Oryctolagus cuniculus: one gene and its partners. The protein of the gene in region 3 purifies or fractionates together with the protein of the main gene of each other region. This does not show direct contact. Links are inferred from orthologs where the notes say so. Each region holds a gene or a part of one and is shown on either strand. Other genes may lie near its edges. The genes, in order: LAPTM4A, LAPTM5 and NEDD4.

The links.
Region 1: the proteins of NEDD4 (region 3) and LAPTM4A purify together in Homo sapiens (affinity purification with western blotting; 3 studies listed by BioGRID). This does not show direct contact. The link is inferred for Oryctolagus cuniculus from reciprocal best matches to the Homo sapiens genes NEDD4 and LAPTM4A.
Region 2: the proteins of NEDD4 (region 3) and LAPTM5 purify together in Homo sapiens (affinity purification with western blotting; 3 studies listed by BioGRID and IntAct, with this or other methods). This does not show direct contact. The link is inferred for Oryctolagus cuniculus from reciprocal best matches to the Homo sapiens genes NEDD4 and LAPTM5.

The regions. Positions count from the first base shown.
Region 1 is NC_091433.1:182,483,203-182,490,965, forward strand, and holds the start of LAPTM4A (lysosomal-associated transmembrane protein 4A), read left to right. Parts: upstream 1-3,409; 5' UTR 3,410-3,953; coding exon 3,954-4,064; intron 4,065-7,763. UniProt on the Homo sapiens protein: May function in the transport of nucleosides and/or nucleoside derivatives between the cytosol and the lumen of an intracellular membrane-bound compartment.
Region 2 is NC_091438.1:141,557,630-141,565,183, reverse strand, and holds the start of LAPTM5 (lysosomal-associated transmembrane protein 5), read right to left. Parts: upstream 4,533-7,554; 5' UTR 4,379-4,532; coding exon 4,292-4,378; intron 1-4,291. UniProt on the Homo sapiens protein: May have a special functional role during embryogenesis and in adult hematopoietic cells.
Region 3 is NC_091443.1:78,535,896-78,542,942, reverse strand, and holds part of NEDD4 (E3 ubiquitin-protein ligase NEDD4), read left to right. Parts: intron 1-2,055; coding exon 2,056-2,285; intron 2,286-2,943; coding exon 2,944-3,065; intron 3,066-3,154; coding exon 3,155-3,225; intron 3,226-4,259; coding exon 4,260-4,355; intron 4,356-4,686; coding exon 4,687-4,760; intron 4,761-5,023; coding exon 5,024-5,084; intron 5,085-7,047. UniProt on the Homo sapiens protein: E3 ubiquitin-protein ligase which accepts ubiquitin from an E2 ubiquitin-conjugating enzyme in the form of a thioester and then directly transfers the ubiquitin to targeted substrates. Specifically ubiquitinates 'Lys-63' in target proteins.

The DNA of each region.
Region 1 (7,763 bases), on a different chromosome or scaffold from region 3:
CCTTTCTCTCTGTCTCTCTCTCTCACTGTCCACTCTGCCTGTCAAAAAAAAAAAAAAAAAAAAAAAAAAAAAAAGTTGTGAGAAAGCACGGGATTATATTTAATGTTTAATTATTTAATTATATTTAATGTTATTAATTATTTAATTAATTAATTATTAATTAATTATTTAATTATATTTAATGTTTGATTTGATAGGAGGTAGCTGAATTCTTACATCAATATGTCATGATATTTCTTTTGGTTGAAATGTATAAAGAAAATCTAATCTCATGTAGATATGTTGTTGGAAAAGTTATTTTAAGAGACTTTTTAGATAATTGTGATTTTTTCTTTGATTCTACACCAAAACATAGTAAGTAGTAAATCCTTAAAGGTCAATTGTAATGTGGAATCTGAACCATATGAAGGAACTTTTCGGGGCTGGCACTGTGGTGTAGCGGATAAAGCCGCCGCCTCCCGTGCCAGCATCCCATAGGAGCGTTGGTTCAAGTCCCGGCTGCTCTACTTCCGATCCAGCTTTCTGCTATGGCCTGGAAAGGCAGTATAAGATGGCTCAAGTCCTTGGGCCTCTGCACCCTCGTGGGAGACCCAGAAGAAGCTCCTGACTCCTGGCTATAAATCAGCACAGTTCCAGCTGTTGCGGCCAATTGGGGAGTGAACCATCAGATGGAAGACCTCTCCCTCTCTCTTTTTTCTACCTCTGCCTCTCTGTAACTCTTTCAAATAAATAAATAAATCTTTAAAAAAAGAACTTTTCATACTGTGACACCAAAAATCACTGCTCTGCCCTGCACTTGATTAGCTTTTTTAACCTAGGCATGATTTTGTAGCATAATGCACTGGTTATTTGACAAATGTTGCTTCACTCAGGTAGCAGAGAGTCAAATGTTAACATTGTAAATATCAGAAAATCACATTAGTTTATTTCACTCCAATACTACCATAAAAATCTTTTAAAAAGGTTTATTTTATTTGAAAGGCAGAGTGACACACACACACACACAAACACACACACATACAGAGAGAGAGACAGAGAGAGAAAGACAGAGACAGAGACAAAGAAAGCAAACTTCCATCCTCTGATATAGAATGCTGGCATCATAGGCGGTGACTAACTCGTCGGGCCATAACTCTTGCCCCACATAAAAATCTTTATTACTATCAAGCCTGTGGTTGTGCATATACATTTTTCCAAAATTTTTGGAAACTTTTCTCTAATTTTCTCTTGAAAATTTTATAATTTCTTCACTGGCAACCAATACTCTAGCTGCTTGCCTTGAAGGGACAAGTTCACCTCATTCATTTTCAAGAAAATGACTGCCAAATACTTACATCTCAATATTCATATTCACCTGTCATTCTTTCAAGTGAAAATGGTGCTCTATTAAAAACGTGGCTAGATCAGTTCCTAAGTCAAGCAATGCTTCCCCTAGAGAGAATCATTGTATTTTTGTACACAGCAAAAGTGCTTATGTGGACTTGACCTTTTATTACATAGAATGCTAAAAATATGTGTTCTTGCATCTGCATTGGGGTGCAGTGGTTTAAGCCACTGCTTGGGACATCTGTATCCCATATCAGAGTGCCTGGCTTTGAGTCCTACCTCTGCTTCCAATCTATGTTCCTCCCAATGCACACTCTGGGAGGCAGAAGATGATGGCTTGAATATTTGGGTACTCGCCACCCACATGGGAGACCTGGATGGAACTGGCTCCTGGCTTCTGCCTGGCCCAGCCATGGCTGTTGCAGACATCTGAGGAGCAAACCAGATATTTCTCTCTGTTGCTTGACCTTTCAAATAAATAAAATTCACAATAAACTTAAAAAATAAAAAGATGTGTTCTCAAGGACTAACAAAACAAAGCAAATAATGTTTTGTTCATCAAGAATATTCTTAATCCAAACTAGCATTTTTACACTGCTTGTGTAGCAGGGAAGGACGCAGGTGATGGGTGGTACAGTTTGGTGCCACTGTCCACAGTAGAACTAAACTAAAAGCCTCATCATAAAATCCAGGGTTTCCCCTCTTTCCCTTCCAGCTCCTGTCATCCCCTTCCTCCTTCCTGCCCCCAGCCCCTTTTCTGTTTTCTCTCTGCGATTCCACTTCTGATGATGTGGTCATATATCCCTCCCATCTCTTTCTTCGCCCACCCCTGGCAATGATTCTGTCAGCTCCCACCGACAAGAAGTAAGGGTCTAGTTTTGGATTCCTTGAATCTGGGCTTAGCCATGGGATTTGCTTTGTCCATTGGAACATGAGCAAATGTGAACCACACACTTAAAAAGTGCCAGTGTCTTGTGCTTGCCCTGGGAAACCCTGCACCAACCCTAAGGGGCTGGGCCAGCTTGCTAGATGTTGAGACACGCAGATAAATGCCTCCACCCAGACTGATGCAAAACCACCAGCCACGGGAGAACATTCTAGACGATCCAGATTTCACCAGTTAAGCTGAACTTGACAGAAACCAGCAGAAATGCCTAGTTTAGCACAAATTGAGGAGAAATAAAAAAAAGTTGTGTGAAGTCACTAAGTTTTGTGTAGTTTGTTGCACAGCAAAAGCTGTCATTAAAAATACTCTCAGCTATTTTTGTCGTGGTGCACGCAGAGCTTCATATTTTTAAGCAACATATACACTCTATTTTCACTAATTCTGACGTTATTTGCTCCCAATATACTGGATGACTTATCACTCTTAAACTGTCATCTACTCTTCCCCAAATACAGTGTGTTGCGACATACTCCACATGCAGCGTTTGCCTGATTATGCCTACGCAGTTATCACCCACAGCTGAACTCCGTGGTGGCTCTGACTACATTTCTTTTCACGGTAAAGTCACACGTCTCCTACACACACAACGAACACGTGTCAAAGATTCTGTCTGCTCTGAGGAAGGAGAGGCCGGGGAGACGTCAAAGTACCGCCTCTACTGAAGCAGGAATGGGAATGAACTCAGAAGTTGATGTCAGATACAGGCTTTTTCCCAGGAGGGCTGAGTCCAGTGAGCACTCCCAGGGCGCAGCAGGGACAAAGGAAGGCGGGGGCCCTACGCAATCCCAACACCAAGGCCGGCTGTTCACTCAAGGCCCCCGACAACCTGTTGGTTCTTTTCCACGTGTCTCACAACTCTTCTCCACAAAAACCACTCTCGTCAGCTGTAAGCAGCCAGTTCTCCCACTACTTTCGGTCTCCTTAAGCCCTGCGTCTCTGGCTCCCACCAAGGAGGCGGAAATCCACGCTCTCAACTCCCCTGGGAGCTCCCAATTTCCGCCACACTGCGGGGGCGGCTAGCTAGCCCCGCCCCTCCCCACAGGCCCCACCCACTCACAAGGCCCGCCCCTCCCCCACAAGCCGGCCCAATAATGGAGCCGCACGCAAAGGTCACATGAGCAGCCGCAGGTCCGAGTCGCCTCTGACGTAATACGTGGCAGAGGCATCACTCGGAAAAGCCTTTCGCGCTCACTTCCTGGCCTCCACGCCATCTCTTGTCTCCCCTCTTGCACTAAATGTCCCTTTCCTTGACGGCCTCACTTCAGGGATGGTGAACTACCGGGTCGCCCTCACCACGAACTCTCCTGGGCTCCCGAGCGGGCCTCTGGCCTCCCTTACCAGGCGGGAACGGATCCGCGCTGAGGGGAGTTGCACTTCTGATTGGCCCTGAGATATTGTCAGTCTCCAAGGTTTTCCAATCAGGAGGCGGGCCCGCTCCGTTTTCCGCTCTCTATTGGTCCGCGTGCCGCGGAAAGTGGAGGAGGAGGAGGGGGTAAGCGGAGGCCGCACGAGAGCGGCGCTCAGTGCGCCGGTGCGGAGGAGCTGTTGGGGCCCGGGCCGGGGGCGGGCTTGAAGACGCGTCGTTTGGCTTGGGACGCCGAGAGTCAACCGCCGGGCGCAACCGCTGCGCGGAAAGCTTTGGTCAGTGACTGGGCCAGCAGCGAGGCCCGCGAGTCTCCCGATGGTGTCCATGACTTTCAAGCGGAGCCGCAGCGACCGGTTCTACAGCACCCGGTGCTGCGGCTGCTGCCATGTTCGCACCGGGACGATCGTCCTGGGCACCTGGTACATGGTAGGTGTGAGGGGCGCCCGGGCCGGCGGGGCGGGGCGTGAGGGGGCGCGTCTCCGTGGGGTCCTCCAGCTCGGGCAGCAGTCCGGGGGCGTCGAGGGAGGAGACTTGCCCCGGGGGTGTTCCGGGGCGGCCGGAGGGACTGGGGTGCTGGGAATGACCCGGCTTGGCCTCCTTTCGCACTTCCGCCCCCGGGTCGGGTGCTGGTGGCGGTGGGTTTTATTCATTTTATATATATATTTTTTTTTTGAGGAGCAGATCTTGAGGTAACGCATCCCAGTTCCTCTGCCTCGGGGCCGCTCGCGCTGCCGGAGCGCAGCTGGGGTGCGGGCCGCGGGGCCGAGGTGCGCCCGGAGGCGGCACCGCTCTCCGGGATTCGCCCTGAGGCAGCCCCTGGCCTGCCCGCGTTAGCGGATGGCCTGCACTGGGTGGCCGCGGAGGCTGGCGTGCCTGGTGCCGGGATCTCCTCTGTCATCGGCAGTTGACAGTGTGACCCGTAGGAAGACGGTAGTGGCTGCTTCCCGCCGCTTCCGGGATGCGGACACGATTGGAGCCGGTTTGTGAGTTAGGAAAGTGCGATCCTGTTTAGGCAGTCTTGGGTTATTCGGACTTCACGGAAGCTCTGTCAGACTTCATTTGTTGTCGACTCGGCCACTTTGGCTGACTTCTGTGATTTTTGTGGGGGGCGACAGGGAGTGGCAGCAAATACTGTGCCGGTTCTGATGCTTAGTGACCTACAAAAAAAAAAAAAAAAAAAAAAAAGGGAAGAGACTTACCCTAGGCACTCCCTGCCTTCCTACGTGCTGGAGACGTCCCCACCCAGTGTCTGGAAGTCATTGGTAACCACTCAGACAAATACCAGACGAGAATCCGTTAGACAGATACTGTTACATGGCTCGCCCCCAGGGGACCACCTGCCACCACGTTATTCCTGACTGCTCTGTTGTTGTTTTACAGTCTTGCTTCATTAACATACTTAAAAATTAAAAAAACTTGAATGTGTGTAAATCTATTTGTATCACATGGCCATTCACAGACTCTATAATTTTGGACATCAAATAGTTAATGAGTCATCTGCGTTATATTTCTCACTTCCTTTTCTTTCCCCTCCATTATTAAGGGGCTGAGTTTTAATTTCTTTTGTTTGTCCTTAGCTCTGCCTTCCACTCTCCAAAATGAATACTTTAAATCGTTCTCAACCCTACTGTCCTCATCCCAAGTGATTTTCCCTCCTCCTGGGTGGAGGAAGTCCAGTCCTTCATCCTGGGACTCTGGCCTTCAAATTTGGTGTTCCTGTCTCCTCAGCTCTTTCCCTCCGTTCACAGAACAGAGGGTTTCTAACTCTTAAAGAAGAAAATAACCACCATCCTTGTCTCAGCCATCTAAGTGTAATTGGCTGTATTTATGGGCTCAGCTCAAAAATGAATAGCAGGATCAAGTGCGAGTTACAAACAGGAAACTCAAAGTGCAGAGGGGAAAACTTCAGTTAAGGGCATTATTCCTACAAAGTAGGCAGTGAATTTAAATCTCTTCCGCACTTGAAGCTGTTGACGTGAAAAAGGTTCACGCATCTCTCTTTTGAGCTCTTCTTTGCGTGGACTTTTCAGGTTAGTAGAACCTTGTCAACTGCTTCTGTCACCTGTCTTGGTTATGTGATTGATTGACCGTGTGCACTATGAAAGGCTTTGCTTGCTGTACAGAAGGAATGAATCACAGGGCCTGGTGTCGTTGATCCTTTGTGTTCCTGTTCGGGCCACATGGTAGAACTTCAGTGTTTGTTGTCTTGAACTTTGCATCTTCCCTCAAGATGCTTCTGGTATTGCATGGCACTTTGGGGCACAGGTTCAGAAACGAAACTTACAGTAACGAGAGAAGGGGAAGGTGATTGGTAATGTCCAATTCTAACCAGCTCAGGGACTGGAGGAAGGCTGTGGGGGGCCCGTGTTGAGCCTAGCAGTTAGCCGTCTGCATTCCCCATCATGGGTTCAGTTCTGGCCGAAGCCCCTGACTCTAACTTCCTGCTACACAGACACTGGGAAGCAGTGTTGATGGCTGAAGTCACCTGTGTGGGAGACCCGGAAAGGCCAGTGGTTTTATTAATTATAATATTGCTGGTGACTTTCAAAAGTGTAGCTTTGATACAGCAATTTAAAGACACAGTTTCTGCCCAGCTGGGGAGACACATAACACTGAGAAATTAGACAAGACCACCTGGACCAAAGTGCAGTGTTGTCTAAGCAGTGCGTTTTGTTGCCAGTAGCTTCCTTACTAAGGGAAATACGGGGGTGAGTGGAGTAGGGTGTTACTTCCCTCCCTCTTCCTTGATTCTAGCTGCTGCAATACTTCTGCATCTGCTTGAGAGAGTATCTTATGATTCTCTCAGGTTCCCCCGTAGTCACTAGGCTGTCTGAAGTGGTGATTCCTTATGTGCTGTTTGGAACTTGGTGAGGCCTCTGGATGGGCTCAGACACTGTTAAAATGACTGCGACTGATAGAGTGTCATTACTTTTCAGCAGCCACTTCTACGGATGGCAATGTGAAGATGTTTGTCAGACTGTATATACGGTATTCATTGCCTTATATTAAGTAGTGCTGGGCAGGACCTAGAGAAAACCAGAACCCATTATTCCGTAGCCTTGCAGTAGTAGCCTTTAGCATTTTAAACTTGAAAGAAGAAAGCCTGGTTTAGTACCTGGTTTAAGCGATACAGAGTTTCAGAATGAGCTCCTTTAAATGCTGACATTTCTAAAGTTTCCCTATCATTTTTTAAGATGATTTTAAACAAGTTTCTTGTCTAACTCAAAATATTTATTGAATGAAAATGGCCTTAAGCATCTGCTGTGAGAGGTTAATGGTGCCCTAATGAGAGTATGTTTTGAGCATTTGTAGTAAGTGTTGGTCTTGGAAAGACGCTGTGACTGATTTTCCATGTGTCTCAACCTTTTTAGAGTATAACCTTAGGTAGCGGGCAGATACGCGAAGACAGGCTTCCTCAGGCTGCATTCCTTTCTGGCCCTCACTCCTGATTGCTATAGAGGAGTGTAGCTTGTTTATGCTTCAGTCAGTGTCTTTCCTCAAGTACCTTGTTTTGTGCCTCTGTGACTGGATATGCGATTCCCTTCTGAAATCATCTTTTCCTGTCATTTTCTAAAAATGGTATTAAGGAAGTTTTAAAACAAAGTAGCAAACTGGCATAAAAATTCCCATTTACTCATCTCTCAGGTTTAACCATTAACAATTTTGTCAATTTCACATTAATTTCTTGGCTGGTAGCTCAGATGTTTTCATGGGGAAGATTTTTCAAGTGTCTGTTGTAGGCACTTATTAAATAGTACTTCTGTTGCATTCTAGTATGATTATCTTTTCTTCCTCCCACATAGGATGGCTTCCCTGAAGGAGGAGGGTAGTGTCTTACCCTATAAAATGTGTGTAGTAGGTAAATTATTAATTAGACCGCTTGAGATGTTCATGAAACAGTAAATGAACCGTCTCCTCCAAGAAAAGTCCCTGAAGAATCTCTAGGATGTGTGTGGCAATGAAATGAGAATGCAGAGAGGAATGACTCTCTGGAGGCTGGGTGTGTCCATGGATGCCGTAGCGTTGCTTTGTACTCAGGACGCTCGAGCACATCTGTTTCTCCTTTGTGCGCTTACATAAGGTGGGTAAAGGCTTCAGAAGCATCAGACACCACGTTGTTTGACC
Region 2 (7,554 bases), on a different chromosome or scaffold from region 3:
ACTGCACGAGCCTCCCCGCCCCCTCCCACAGCCTCCGGCAGCCCCCAGTGGTCTGCCCACACCAAGCCTCTGCTGCTGCAGCTCCCTCCAGCTGTGAGCCCTCTTTTCCCAGCATGCTCCAGCAAAGTCCTGGTCATCACCAGGATCCAGGGGTCCTCCAAGGAGCCCTTCCACACCTCCACCCCAAGGCTGGGCTAAGGCCCTTCCTCCCTGGGCCCACAACAGTGTGCAGCGTTGCTACCAGCGCCTTGGTTATCACAGACTTTGAGGCCTGGCTCCTGGCCCAGGCTCATCAGGGCAAGTTGCGGCCTCTTCTTTCCACCCCAGAGGCTGCCTTTGTAGCATGAAGAGACGCAGCACGGGATTCTCCCCCAGGCACAAAGCAAGCATCCGGGTGCTCTGCCTGTGTAATCCGATGGTGGGGAGAACAGACAAATCTCTCAGGAAGGATTCCCAATCACCACGGGCCCCCGCGCCCTCAGGGAGGGGAGCAGCATGCTGTGCACAGGGACTTTCTTCCAGAAAGGACAAAGAGAAAAAGGGAAACTTGACAGCACAGGATGGGGTCGAAGTGACCCAGGTCGAAGCCCACGATGCCCATCGCCGTGGTGGCACATACCCTGCAGGTGGCATGCCAGGGTGGCACTCCACCTCTGCAGTCCTCTTCCCCAGAGCACCTGACCTCGGGTGTAATCTTGAGAAAACCGTCCGACTAATCCCAGTTCGGGAACATTCGACAAAATTCCCAAGATCACCAGAAATGAAGAAACTGTTGAGAAATTGTCAGGGACAGTAGGAGGGAACCCTTAGGAGGCAGTGAGAGCCAAGCGTGGTGTGGTCCCTTGGAGGGTCCTCTCCATGGTTCCCGGAGGAGAACAAGGATCCCGGGCAGAGGGGTGGAGGTATGGACGGGGCGTGGCTGCCTGTCAGTAACAGGTGTCAGTATGGATTCATCTGCTGTGACAAGGGCACAGATAATGGAAGATAGTGACGGAGAGGCTAGGCAGCCGGGACACGGGCACTCTGCACCACGTTCACAGCCCTGCAGTACCTGAAACTCTTCTAAAATGAAGCATTTCTTTTTCAAAGTAGCACATGCTCAGACCAGATACTGAAAATAGGAAAGTAGAAAAGCGTTTGCACGGTCCTGGAGCCCACAGTCACCACCACCTCCTTTCCTTTTCACTGGGCTTTGTCGCGTCCTGTCCCTGCATGGTTGAAATCTGTGTACATTTTTTTTTATCACAGCAGGTGTCAGCTTTTCATCTGGACAATGCACTTCCAGTGATGGGATTTCAGGCGCCTTGGGGAAGAAAGGCAGGAGACATTTCCAGGCAAAAGGGTCTCTGGGAGTCCTCGCCTCCTGACACCGACTGAGGACTTGAGTGAACTTGATGACGAGCGAGGACCCAGGAGGTCGATCTAAGAAAAGTCCTTTGACTTCCCCATGGGTGTAGGTGGGTGGCCCAGAGAATCCTCTACACAAGCCCAGCAAAATCCCTAGGAAGCCTCCTGCGGCCGAAAGTCAAGGACTCACTTCCCAGCATCGCACAGGAGAGGGTCCTCCAGCACCAACACCCCCACGACCTGATAAAGCGCGTGCTGCCTCTGGACGTCAGTGGCCCGATTTAACCCTCCCCAGAGGAACCACAGCCACAAATAGCTCGCCCCAGGCAGAGCCGTCACCCACGGCTGGCTCCAGATGACGGCCGACGCGGGCCCCTGGCACATCTGGATGGCAGCTTCTCTTTTCCATCCAGATGTTCAAGGTCTTGCCAGCACACCTGCCACCCGACGACTGGGCCACAGGAAAGCCCCTGACCCTGCCCTTCTGGGAAGACGCAGAGCCCCAACCCCAGCAAGGGTGAAGGCAGAGACCCTCACTGCAGTCCACTGAGGAGGCCGGCCCGGAGTCACAGAGCAGCCAGGCTACCCGCTCTTCTGGCACCTTCTCCTGTTCTAGAACCTCCCATGGCTGCCCCCCAACTCACATTAGAGGGAGCGACTGCGCCCAGGACTAGACACCTGTTTGGTTATGGTCACGGGGGAGTCAGTGCAGCCGGTGCTACTGGCATGCAGCAGATAGAAGCAGGGGGTGTTGCTAAAATTCCTACAAGGCACTGTTCAGGCCCCCACGCCAAAGGCTCCTCCAGCCCAAATAATAACGGTGCACCCAAGGACACGCCAAGCACTCGCCCTGTCCCTCCCTGACTCCAGCTCAGGGTCCGGAGTGCCCAACCACGCCTTGCCCACCCCCATTTGTCCGCAGTCTCTCTGCTCCACCCCTGTTTCCCATAGCAAAGTTTGCACCTCCTACAAAGGTGCCCCTCCAACAAGACTTCTCCGTGCCCTGGACCCACGCGGCTGCCGTGGCAGGACCCAAGGCATAGAGATCAAAAAGAAACCTGGAGGCACACGGTCCCAGGCTTGCAGTGCAGCCTCGGCGCAGGCAGCCTGTGGGCGGGTCCAGCACGGCCTGCATGGGCGCGTCCATGTTACCCCGCGTCACTCAGCGACATGGGAACACCAGAAGGTGCAGCAAAGATGCCTGTTTCCTGCTTTTCTAAATGTCAGAGGAGAGGCCACAGTGCCCAAGACCCTCATGGCAGCAACGGGCAGAAGCACAGGGCCTCCCGGGCCCGTCCATCCCACCTGTAGTCATGTACATGCCCTTCTGGACTTCTTAAGAGTCACAGTGCTGGCGCTGTGGCGCAGCAGGTAAAGTCGCAGCCTGCGGTGCCTGCATCCCATATGGGCGCCGGTTCAAGTCCCGGCTGCTCCACTTCCGATCCAACTCTCTGCTCATGCACTTGGGAAAGCTGCAGGAGACGGCCCAAGTGCTCGGGCCCCTGCACCCATGTGGGAGACCTAGATGGAGGTCCAGGCTCTTGGCCTTGGCCTGACCCAGCCTTGTTTGTCGAGGCCATCTGTGGCATGAACCAGCAGATGGAAAGATATCTCTCTCTCTCTCTCTCTCTGTCTCTCCATCTCGCCCTCTGTCTCTGTAACTCTGCCTTTCAAATAAAATGAATGCATCTTTTTTAAAAAGAAAGAAAACCCTATAGACTTGGTGGGGACAGTAAAGACACCTCGTGTGGGACAATCTCTGAGCTCCTGCCAAAACCACTCTCCGGGCTGGGAATGCGGGACTTCAGGTGTGCCGGCAGCAGGTGCATGTGTGGTGCCGCACTGAAGGCAAAACACTCCAATGTGGGTCAGACCCTGTTCTGCCTGCGCTGTGGCTATTGAGTCCCTGAGCCACACAAGCCGTCAGACAGGACTTCTTATCTTTAGCCTCGTTTTGGAGAAAAGGAAACAGAGACTCGGAGAGGTTAAGTAAGTTGCCCAAGTTTCCTACAGCTAGGAAACCAGGAAGCCAGGATTTGCACACAGGTGTCTGTATGCTAACCGCTGAGCGGCACCGCCCTCCCCAGGCCCGGCTCCTGCCCCACGACAGGAAGCAGATGCGGCCATCTCGGCCGGGGAGGGCAGCCCACCACGGCATGCAAGCCGTGGCTCACTTTCAGGAAGCTCTTCCAAGCTCATGAGAGAACGGCTAACCACAGGCCCTGAGTCACTCCAGGAGGAAGGCGCCTAGGTCTGGGGGCCCGGGTGTGGCCAGGAGACAAGGGTTGGAGGGTGGGTCTGGACAGGACAGAGCAGGGACTCCAAGCTTCAGCCACCGCAAACAAAGGGGTAGCCATGGCCTTGGGGATTGGCACCTTCCCAGAGTCACTCCGTGAGCCACAGGTGACAGAGCTTTCGTGTGTGGCTAGGCACACCGGCCTCCAAAGAGGAACCTGTGGGAGCTTGAGCCTAGCGCCCCTCCCTGCTTCTTAGCTCCCTGCCCCCGCCCACTGGAAGCTCAGAGAGGAGCTGCTGATGTCCCGGCTCCTGGAGCAGCCCGGGCTTGCAAGCTGTGCCTGTGGCTGACCTGGCATCCTGGCACCCGGCCCAGCCTGCTCTCTCCCAGGCCCCCTGGCCCCCAGAGCATGTCCAGTTCTGAGATAACCTCGCGCCTGCTGCTTTGCCCGACTCGCTGAGGCAGAAGCTGAGCTGCAGAAGCGAATGTCACTTACGTCCGCAGCTGCAGGACGCCCTCCCCATTTCACAGAGAGGGAAACTGAGGCCAGAGAGGGAAAGGGCTGTGCCAAACAGAGTCCCTCAGAAAGGTGGTGGGCAGTGGCCTCCCCTTTGAGGGGCTCAGTCTCTCTCGCCGGCACACACACACACACACACACACACACGCACGGGCACGCACACAAGTCCCCAGGGCCGGCGGCACACTCACCACATGGTAGATGGCCAGGGCGGTGGTGGCCACGCGGACGTTGAAGCAGCAGCAGGTCTGGCGGACGGCGGCCACGTGCGGGGCCATGGTACTGCTGCCGCGGCCTCTGAGGCACTGGGGGGAAGGAGCCCGGCGCCCACCGAGAGCAGAGCAGAAAAAGGGAAGCTGCCGGCTGCCCGGCTCAGGCTCACTTCCGTCCTGCCCCTCAGACAGGCAGGGCCAAGGTCGTCAGCACTGGGGCGGGGCGGCGGGGGAAGCAGGTGGGGGAGGGGCCGCGGCCGGCCTCAGGGAGGGAGCCTCGCCAGACCTCAGCCGCTCCTGGGAGGGGCTTCCAGGGAGGACAGACGCTCCCACCATCTGTACCCACCATGCACCAGGGCTGGGGTTCACCCTTGGAAACTGGGACAGTGACCAGACCTATTTCCAAAAAAAAAAAAAAAAAAAAAAAGAGAGAGAGAAACAGGTCCAGAGAGGTGTATCAAGGCACTCACCCCAAATCACACATCAGTTAGCACCTGTGGCAGGAGCCAAGCTCAAACCTTGCAAAAATGGCTACTTTCTGGCAAGTACTAAGCATGTTCCTGGAATAGCTCCTTTAACCTCAACCTTAGCCTTTTGAGAGAGGTGCTACTATTATCCCCATTTCACAGATGAAGGAATGGAGGCACAGAGAGGGGAAATGATTTGTTTGGGTCACAGCTGGAATTTGAGCTACCCCAGGGCTAGGAGTCTTTGCCCAGTGGGCAGAGCTCCAAACCAGGACAGTAATGCACTTACTATGTGTAGCCATCAGCCCTGGGCCGGGTCTTCTTTCAGCCGGTCACTGACCCCTCCTGGCAGCCCACTCTGTGGGCCTCCAAGTTCCTGGTACAGGAACTCGCTCTTAAACTGGAAGTAATAAACGGCTCCCCAGCACACTACCCCAGGACCTGCACTCCTCACTCAGATGATAAATTACCCACACTGCAATAAACAAAGGGTGCACGAGGCACGCGCAACAACCTGCAAGAAGCTGGGCCTTGTCCCGAAGCTGAGCTCACTGACACTGAAAGCTCCTAGCAGACAGAATGCAGCAGGACCCACCACAAAGCCCCACCCTCCCATGAGGTCAGGGAGTTCGGAGTGGGCAGCACAGCAGTCCATCATTTCTGCCCCAGGAGAGGTTATAAAGGCTCCTACCCCGCAGCAGGAACTGCTGTTAGACCTACACACCTGGGCTGCTGCACTTTATTTCTTTCTTTTTTTTTTTTAATATCTATTTATCTATCATTTATTTGAAAAGCAGAGTGACAAGGAAGGAGAGAGATCTTCCATCCGCTGGTTCACTTTCCAGATGGCTGCAACAGCGGGGCTGGGCTAAGCCAAAGCCAGGAGCCTGGAACTCCATCTGGGTCTCCCACATGGGTGGCAGGGGTCCAAGCACGTGAGCCATTTTCTGCAACTTTCCCAGGTGCATTGGCAGAGAGCTGGATCAGAAGTGGAGCAGCTGGGACTCGAACCAGCGGCTTCTATATGGATTGCTGACATCCTAGTTGGCCGCTTCACCCACCGCGCCACAATGCCTGCCCCACTGCTACACTTTCTAATCCTTCTCCCTTTGCCAATGAGACCAAGGGGACTCAGCCAGGTTGGGGCTCCTGGGAGACCCAGGCGATGGCTTCCCTACTCCGTGTTCAAGCTTGCTTCCGTCCCTTCCTAGGTCTGCTGAGGCCTGACGTCCTAGCGAGCTGACTAGTGAGTCAGTGAGTAAGAATTTGGTCTCTCTGGCTCGCGGCCTGGGCTCCAGTCCTGGCACCTTCTGGCCAGGACAAGACGAGTCAGACTGTGTCCCTCAGCAGCGAGGCCAGACAGAAGGCCTGAGACTGAGAAACCAGGGCCAGGAAGACCCTGAGGTCACGCTGGGGAGTCTGGGAAGCCAGCGGAGGATTTCCCGCGGTTATAACGACAGCCGTCAATAACACTGTGATTTGGTGGGACCCAGGCAGGGGTGCAGCCAATTCCCAAAGAGAGGGCTGGCGTGTGACACGGTTTTACATGGTCTATGGATGGAGGTTTTTCATTTTTATAGTGATCAATTCATCTTATTGTACAGTATAAAAATATACATAACTAGTCCACGAATTCTATGATTCTCCATTTATGGGAGTAATATAAAGTCTCATTTTCAAACAGATGCATTTAAATAAAGAGGCAGCAAGTCGATTTTAAGAGCATATTAAGGAAGCTACAGCCTAGGAGACAGTTGCAGCAGAGGGCTGAGGAGCTGGAGGAGGTGACGTCAGCTCGGGTGTCCCAGCTCCCCACTTAGCCGCTGTGTGACCTCAGACAAAGCGCTTGATCTCTCTGAGCCGTTGTACCTACCTTGGCAGCGCTGTGGCCAACACGGAACAGGGTCATGTGAGCACAGCTATTGTGTCTTTCCTCCCTGACCTCAAACACACCCAGGCTGCTGGGAGGAGACGGAGCCGGGATGCGAACCCTGCTCTGTCTGTTCTTGAGCCCCCCCACCCAGGCACTGCCTTCCCTCCAGACACCAGAGTCATTCGCTCCCCTGAAGTCAGCAGCCTCCAGCCTGCGCAGACCCCTGGGCCGGGGCCTCTGCCACTCCCTGTGGAACGGAAGCCTGGCCCTGGTCATCATTGTCACCTGCCCCAAACCTCCAAGGAGGGGATTCTGCCACCCCAGAGAGTGGCCCCCTTGGCCAAGGCCACTCTAGGAGGTAGAATAAAGCACACACACCACCCTGCAAATGAACGCCCACCCCTAATGCCCGGAGCCTGTGCACATATGACCTCGGTGGCAAAGGCACAATACGGGTGTGATTAAATTAAGGGTCTTGAGACTGGGCTGAGGGGGTGGGGCGGATCCTGGATTGCATGTGTGGGTCGAGTATCAAAGGTCTCTGTAAGCAAAAGCCAGTGTCGGAGAGGGACTGGAGGGCGCCCACGGCCAGCTCTGAAGGAGGGGGAAGGGCCAGGAGCCAAGCAGTACAGGCGGCTCCCAGCGGCTGGGAAGGCGAGGGAACGGTTTCTCCTCCAAGGGCTCCAGGAAGAACATGGCCCCGCAGGCCCATTTGCCCACTTCAGGATGCTCTCCCCTGGATGGCAACACAGCAAGTCTGTGGCGATCACTTACAGTAGCGGCAGGACACTGACACAGCACTCGGTGGAACCTGCACCTGTGCACGTGGAGCCCAGGGGGCCCCGACACTGGAGCACAAGCACCCACCATGGGGACCTCTGTGCGGGGCCACACAAGTGCAG
Region 3 (7,047 bases):
GAAAACCCAGCAGTCCAATTGTGCAGCTCCGCACTTGCCCTCTGCCTCATCCCAGACTGCTTGTCTGCCTCTCCCTTCACTTGGAGCTGTGTTTTCCCGTCTCCTGCTCCCACTGTCCCCGCAGCTGTGTCTCGCCCTCTCACTGCTGTGCTTTGAGTCTGCCCTTCCTGGGCCCTCCCTCCCCTCCTCTCCTGTCCAGAGCTGCCTCCACTGCCTTGTTTTCCACTAGTAACTTGGACTTTTTTGCTTTTCCAAGCACTGCCTCCATGTCTCTTTAGCAGTTGACCTACTCTTTCAAGTTTCAGAATTAGGAGCATTCACACCTCTGTCTCACAGACCCCTTGAGGAAGCAAGGGTTTTTACTACCTTTCCCCGCCCTGGCTGGCCTCACTGGTTGGCTGCCCATCCCAGGGCCTCGCCCAGGGCAGGCGAGTGACCTACCAGCTGCCTGGCAGCCAGTCTGAAATTGCTTTTCTCCCATCTTGCCATTCTGTGAATTGCACAAGCGGTGGAGGAACAGCTTCTGGGAGGCAGTCTCCCCGCTTCGCCCCAGGATCTGCTTCCTGAGGTCTCGGCGACTCACTGTCCGCTGCAGCCTGAAAATGTTAAACATGGAAAGTTCTAGAAATAAGCCACTCATTCCTTTTCAATAATGTTTGTTAGGAGATTGTTATAATTGTTCTCTTTTATGATTATTGTTAATCTCTTGCTGTGCCTAGTTTACAAATTAGACTTTATCCTAGGGTGTGTGTGTGTGTGTGTGTGTGTGTGTGGAGAAAGCATCGGACAGGTGCGGCTTGGCCCTGTGTATCCTTTCAGGCATCCATGGGACATCTTGGAATGTCCACCCTGTGGATCAGGGCGACGGCCATCCAAGGCTTCAGTTACTGTGTTTCTATCAGGCTTTTCTTTTTCCTTAAATATATGAAAAATGATTTTCTTTTCCCTTAGAGCTAACCCTTTCTTTTTGTTTTTGAATCTTGATAGTGTGTTTTCTCTTATTGATTTCCACTTGAAAATTGCACACACACCACTCAGGAATAAAATATCCCGCAATATTGTTATAACATGTGTAATCCTATCTGCCTAAGGTATAGTTATCTACACTTGTAACACAAACAGAGGATGCGCACAGGGTCAGTGTGCCAGTGTCGCTCATTGCTGCAGACCAGAGACTGGGGAGCTTTCTCAGCATCCTCATTTCTCCCTCTGTAGAGTAGAGATGGTACTAGCAGCTTCTTTGTATTCTGTCATGAAGAACACTTGGGTTAACCAGTAAAATTGTGCCTGGTACAATCTATAAGTGTTAGCATCTATTCCTGGGTGAAGCAGGAGAGAGTGCAAGGAAGAAAAATTGCAGTAGGGAAGCACCTTGGCAGACAGGCAAGCAGCAAGTACCAGGCGGTGGCTAGACAGTGAGGCAGAGAAGGGGCTTCCCTGGAACCTGGCGTGCAACGGACTGTTCATGAAACGCCTTCAGCTGAGCGTCGTCACCCCCTCACCAGCCCCGTCAGATACATCAGAAGTGGGTATTAGGAAGTGGGAACTGAAATGTATGAATTCATTTCTTCCATGGAGGAAAAGTAAGAAAATACAGCTGGACCATCCTGGTGGTGAAGCAGGTTAAGCCACCACTGGACGCTGGCATCCCGTATCGGAGTACCAGTTTGAGTCCTGGCTGCTGTGCTTCTGATCCACCTTCCTGCTAATGCAACTGGGGAAGCAGCCGCGGATGCCCCAAGCACTTGGGCCCCTGCCACTCACAGGGGGGACCCGGGATGGAGTTGTAGGCTCCTGGCTTCAACCTGGCCAGGCCACCCCCATTGCAGCCATTTGAGAGGTGAACCAGAGGATGGAAGATCGATCGATTGATCAATCTCTCTCTCTCTCTCTCTTTCAAATAAATAAAATAAGCCTTTTTAACAGACCTCATTGTGTTTTCCCCGGCGCTGGGGGAAAGACAGCGGCAGAGCGCGTGTGGGAGCTTTCCTGAGGCCCGTGTGTCGTTACGCGGCGTTGACTCAAGTCACGAGTTCCTCCTCTCTGTGTTTTCAGAATGACATTCCAAACAAGTTTGAGATGAAGCTCCGCCGGGCCACCGTGCTCGAGGACTCCTACCGGAGAATCATGGGCGTCAAGCGAGCAGACTTCCTCAAGGCCCGGCTCTGGATTGAGTTCGACGGTGAAAAGGGGTTAGATTATGGAGGCGTCGCCAGAGAATGGTTCTTCCTGATCTCAAAGGAAATGTTTAACCCTTACTATGGGCTGTTTGAATATTCTGCTACGTAAGTTCCTTTTCAACCACTTACACACAAGGGAGACATCACTGTGTACAAAGTGGCAGTTACACAATACGAGGGAGATGTGGGTTCTGGAATACCAGGGAGGGGAGGCCGCAACTGATGTTTTAGAAGTGACTTTTTTAAGCGGTTGTGGTAGCACATGCCTCACATAAGACTTCCCACTATGACCGTGGGACGTGAGCACTGTGACGCCAGCTACATGCACGCTGCTGTGCGGTCACCACCACTGCTCCGGACCGTTTTGTCTTCTCAGGGTGAAGCTCTGACTTCTGTTCCCTGCAGTCGCCATCCGTTCTCCTTTCTGTCTTTGCAAATCCAGCTACCCCACTTCCCTCACGTGGGCGGAGTCATGCAGCGTTTGTCCTTGGCTCCGGCTTATTGTACTTGCCATGCCGTCTTCAGGGTGCGTCTGTGGCACAGTCGCCTTCCTAAAGCTAAAGAATACCCGCAACATCAGTGGGTGTTTGTATTATTTCCTCCTTTTGAGAGAATTTACTGCTTTTCAAACCATTCAATCCAGTGGCCAAATGCGGTTCTGATCAACTCCAAAGGAGGAGGAGATCCATTTATACTGATTTGTCAGCTTAAACATTTTGTCTGTGTTACCAACAGAAGTATTTCCGTGTGGTTCTCTCTGCAGGGACAATTACACCCTACAGATAAATCCAAACTCTGGGTTGTGTAATGAAGATCACCTCTCTTACTTCAAGTTCATTGGCCGAGTGGCTGGGATGGCAGTGTATCACGGCAAGCTGTTGGATGGTTAGTATCAAGTATAAACCTTGTCTTAGTGTAATTAGCCATCTTCTTTCATGTTTTAGTAATTCCAAATATCATTGTTTTTTTTCAAGGTTTTTTCATTCGCCCTTTTTACAAGATGATGCTACACAAACCGATCACACTTCATGATATGGAGTCAGTGGTATGTCTTTTCACTTGTAATGGGAATGACATATGATTTAACAGACAACTGGATATTGTAAAGAATTAGTTTTTTAATGATACAGAAATTAACAAGTAATAACCTTTCAAAATAGAAATGAATATTTTACCATGAAAATTTTCTAAATATAATCAAGTTTAAAGACCGTTACAGTGGACACTTGTATATCTACCACCTACAAGTGACTTTTCAACTTTTCCTATGTTTATTTCATTGCATACCTTTCCATCTATCCATCCCTTGACCCATTAATCCACTGTAGTTTTTTTCATGCATTTCCTCGTAAGCTGCAGATACCAGTAAACTTCCCCCTAAATGCTTACTTTGCAGCAGTACTGTATCTTTTATGTCAATATTTGAGTTGGGATATTGGCATGTATCTTAAATTTGGTAGTGTGGAGGCGTAGCCTCATGATTAGTCCCCAAGAAAGACACAGAGATGCTGATTAAAATCTTGACTCCCTATGCTCCCTCAGCTGCTGCAGAGCCCTATACATTGCATGCACACATGGATTCCAGGACAGCCTCCTTTCTTAGTACCAGGTAGATTGCTTCTTACTTTCATGTCACAAGTCATCAGTGCAATCAGCATGGTTTTTCACGTCATAACATCAGTCATTTCAGTTGTTTAGTTGAGCTTCCACTTGGGCCAGGTGTAGACAAGGAACTCCTCATAGTTACCTGAACATTTCATAAACCTCTCATCGGCCGGATGACTTCTGTGGAGGTTGGGACTTATCTGAAAACTGCTCTGTTTAACCCTTTAACTGGGTAACAAAATCTGCTTTCACATGGAGATGTTTCTGACCTTTTAAACAAGTACCCTCCACTGGCTGATACACGTCTAGCCCTGCATGGCCCCTTGTCTCTTCTTAGAGCACACGTATGTGTGTATGGAAAAGATGCCCACGTGACCCTTTCATCTTTCACCCAGTTATTCTGACCTGGAGCTCAGGTGTCTTCTTTATATATATATATATATGCATTTTAAATATGAAATTTTTCCCGTCTAGGATAGTGAATATTACAACTCACTAAGATGGATTCTTGAAAATGACCCAACAGAACTGGACCTCAGGTTTATCATAGATGAAGAACTTTTTGGACAGGTTTGTACCCTTTGACCAGTGAAAATGGTAAATTGTGTAAAAAACCTTGGCAGCTTCAGTTTAGAGTTAGTGCACATACTCAACACATTCCTGTGCTCTGCTTTTACATTCATGTTCCAGTAACAAGAGCACTCAGTACGAATTTTTGCTTTTTTTGACATTTGATTCATACCATATTTATTTTAGTAAAACTAATATTTAAGTTTTCTAAGCTTCTAGCTTTCGAATGGATTTAATGTAAAACACCAGGTTTTGGGCGTAACTGTAATATGTATACCTTTGAAATCTTTCTTACTAAAATAACATATCAAGGTATTATGTTTAATTTTAGACACATCAACATGAGTTGAAAAATGGTGGATCAGAAATAGTTGTCACCAATAAGAACAAAAAGGAATATATTTAGTAAGTATTTTATTAGTATTTTAATGAGAATAATTTTGCACTTTTTTGTAAGATTCTTCTTACCTTCTTCCCGGACCATGCTGTGGCCCCAATCTTGATGTTCTTCTTTTATTTCTATAACATTGCGGTATTATCGATTCATATCAACTTTTTGGCATGAGCTTAGCTAGCCTTTATTTTTTGTTTCTAACTTGAATAACTCCAGCTTAAATCTTTTTTCTTGGTTTATGAGAAAAAGTGTGAAATGTTTTATTTCTTTTTAGTCTTGTAATACAATGGCGGTTTGTAAACCGAATCCAGAAGCAAATGGCTGCATTTAAAGAGGTATTCATTTTCTTTTGTTTTCTCACTCACAATTTCAAAGTACAATCTGTAAATTTCAAATATTGGGCTTCATTCATCATATCTTAGAAAAATAAGTATATGGCTTGATTTGTAAACCACCCTAAGCTATGTTTTTAGACAACAAAATATTCCTTGAATAGTTGTTCACCATTAAAATTCAATCATTCAAGAACTCTAGACAGAACCATGCAGTTCCATTTTCACCTTTTCTTCTTCCCACTCCCCTCCTCTGAGTAGCCCCAGGTGGGCAGTGGCACGGAGTGCTCTAGGACAGTGTAGCAGGTCGGGCTTTTTCCTAAATACAATCACATCATGGGAGACCCAGATGAAGTTTCTGGCTCCTGGCTTCGGCCTGGCCCAGCACTGGCTGTTGTGGCCATCTGAGGAGTCAACCAGTGGATGGAAGATCCCTGTGTCTCCATCTCTCCCTTTCTCTGTAACTCTGACTTTCAAATGAATAAATTAATCTTTTAAAAAGATTAAATTCTTTAAAAATTGGGGAGGAAGGGAGAAATGGTATTGTGGTACAGCGCTGCCACTTGTGTGATGCCAGCATCCATGCATGTGCACTGATTTGAGTCCTGGCTGTTCTGTTTCAATAGAGCTCTCTGCTAATGTGTCTGAAAGGTAGCACAAGAAGATCCAAGTTCTTGGACCCCTGCCACCCATGTAGATGAACTTTGCTTCTGGCTTTTGGTATGTCCCGGCCCTGGCTGTTGTGGCCATTTGGGGAGCGAAGCAGCATATGGAATATCTCACTTTCTCTCTCTGTTCATGTTTCTGTCATTCTGCCTTTCAAATAGATAAATCTTTTTTTAATTTAATTAAAAATTTTAATTTTTAAAACTTTGGTTTTTATTTTATTTGAAAGGCAGAACTACAGAGAGAGGAGGGGGAAGGGAAGAAGGTGAGAAAGGGGAGGCGGGGAGAGAGAGATCTTCCATCCACTGGTTCACTCCCCAGATAGCAAAACAGCCATGACTGGTCCAGGCAGAAGCCAGGAGCCAGGAGCTTCTTCCAGGCCTCCCACATGGGTGCAGAGACATAAGCACTTGGGTCACCTTCTGCTGCTTCCAAAGTGCATTAGCAGGGAGCCGGATCAGAAGTGTGAAAAGCTGGGTCTTGAACCAGTGCCCACATGGGATGCTGGCATCACAGGTGGAGGCTTAACCCACTGTGCCACAATGTCAGCCCCAAAACTTTCTTTCTCAATACAAGTTCTATCTAGTTTGTAACAGATGACAGCAACCATTTAGTCATCCTTAAAGAACTGCGAGTCCTTAAACTCAACCATGTCAGTGCAGACTTGCTTTTTATATTATTAACTGAAGAAAAGTAGGTGCCCTTTAAACACATTTTAAGATTAGGAAACAAAGAGCCAAATCAGGACTGTTAAGTGGATGCCTGATGGTTTCCCGTGGAAACTCTCAAAGAACTGCCCTTGCAGGAGCATCGTCATGGAAGGCAGGAGCATTGTCATGGTGGAGACAGGCTCGCTGGAGAAGCTTCCCAGCACGTTTCTGCTAAGGCTCTAACTGACTTTCTCAAAACACTCTCAGAATCAGCATCTGTTACTGTCCTTTGACCCTCCAGAAAGTCAACAAGCAGAATGCTTTGAACATCCAAAAAAATGTCACCAAGACCTGTGCTCTCAACCAGCCTACCCTTGCCAAAGTCTGGGTCCCAGCTTAATCTGAGTCTCCCACGTGGGTGGCAGGGACCCCGCTTTTGCTTTAAATGGGCCCTTTCCACCTCTTTTGTTAATTTGACTTACATAAGGTAAACAAATTCCATGTATTTCATATGTACAGGCTTAAGAGCCTAATGATACTTCCTGCCCTACGCTGCCTCCTGCCCCTGCTCCCACCCTCCTTCCTTTTCTTTTATGTTTTACAATGACATACCTTCAGTTTATTTATAATGACAGGCTTAGTCCTCCACT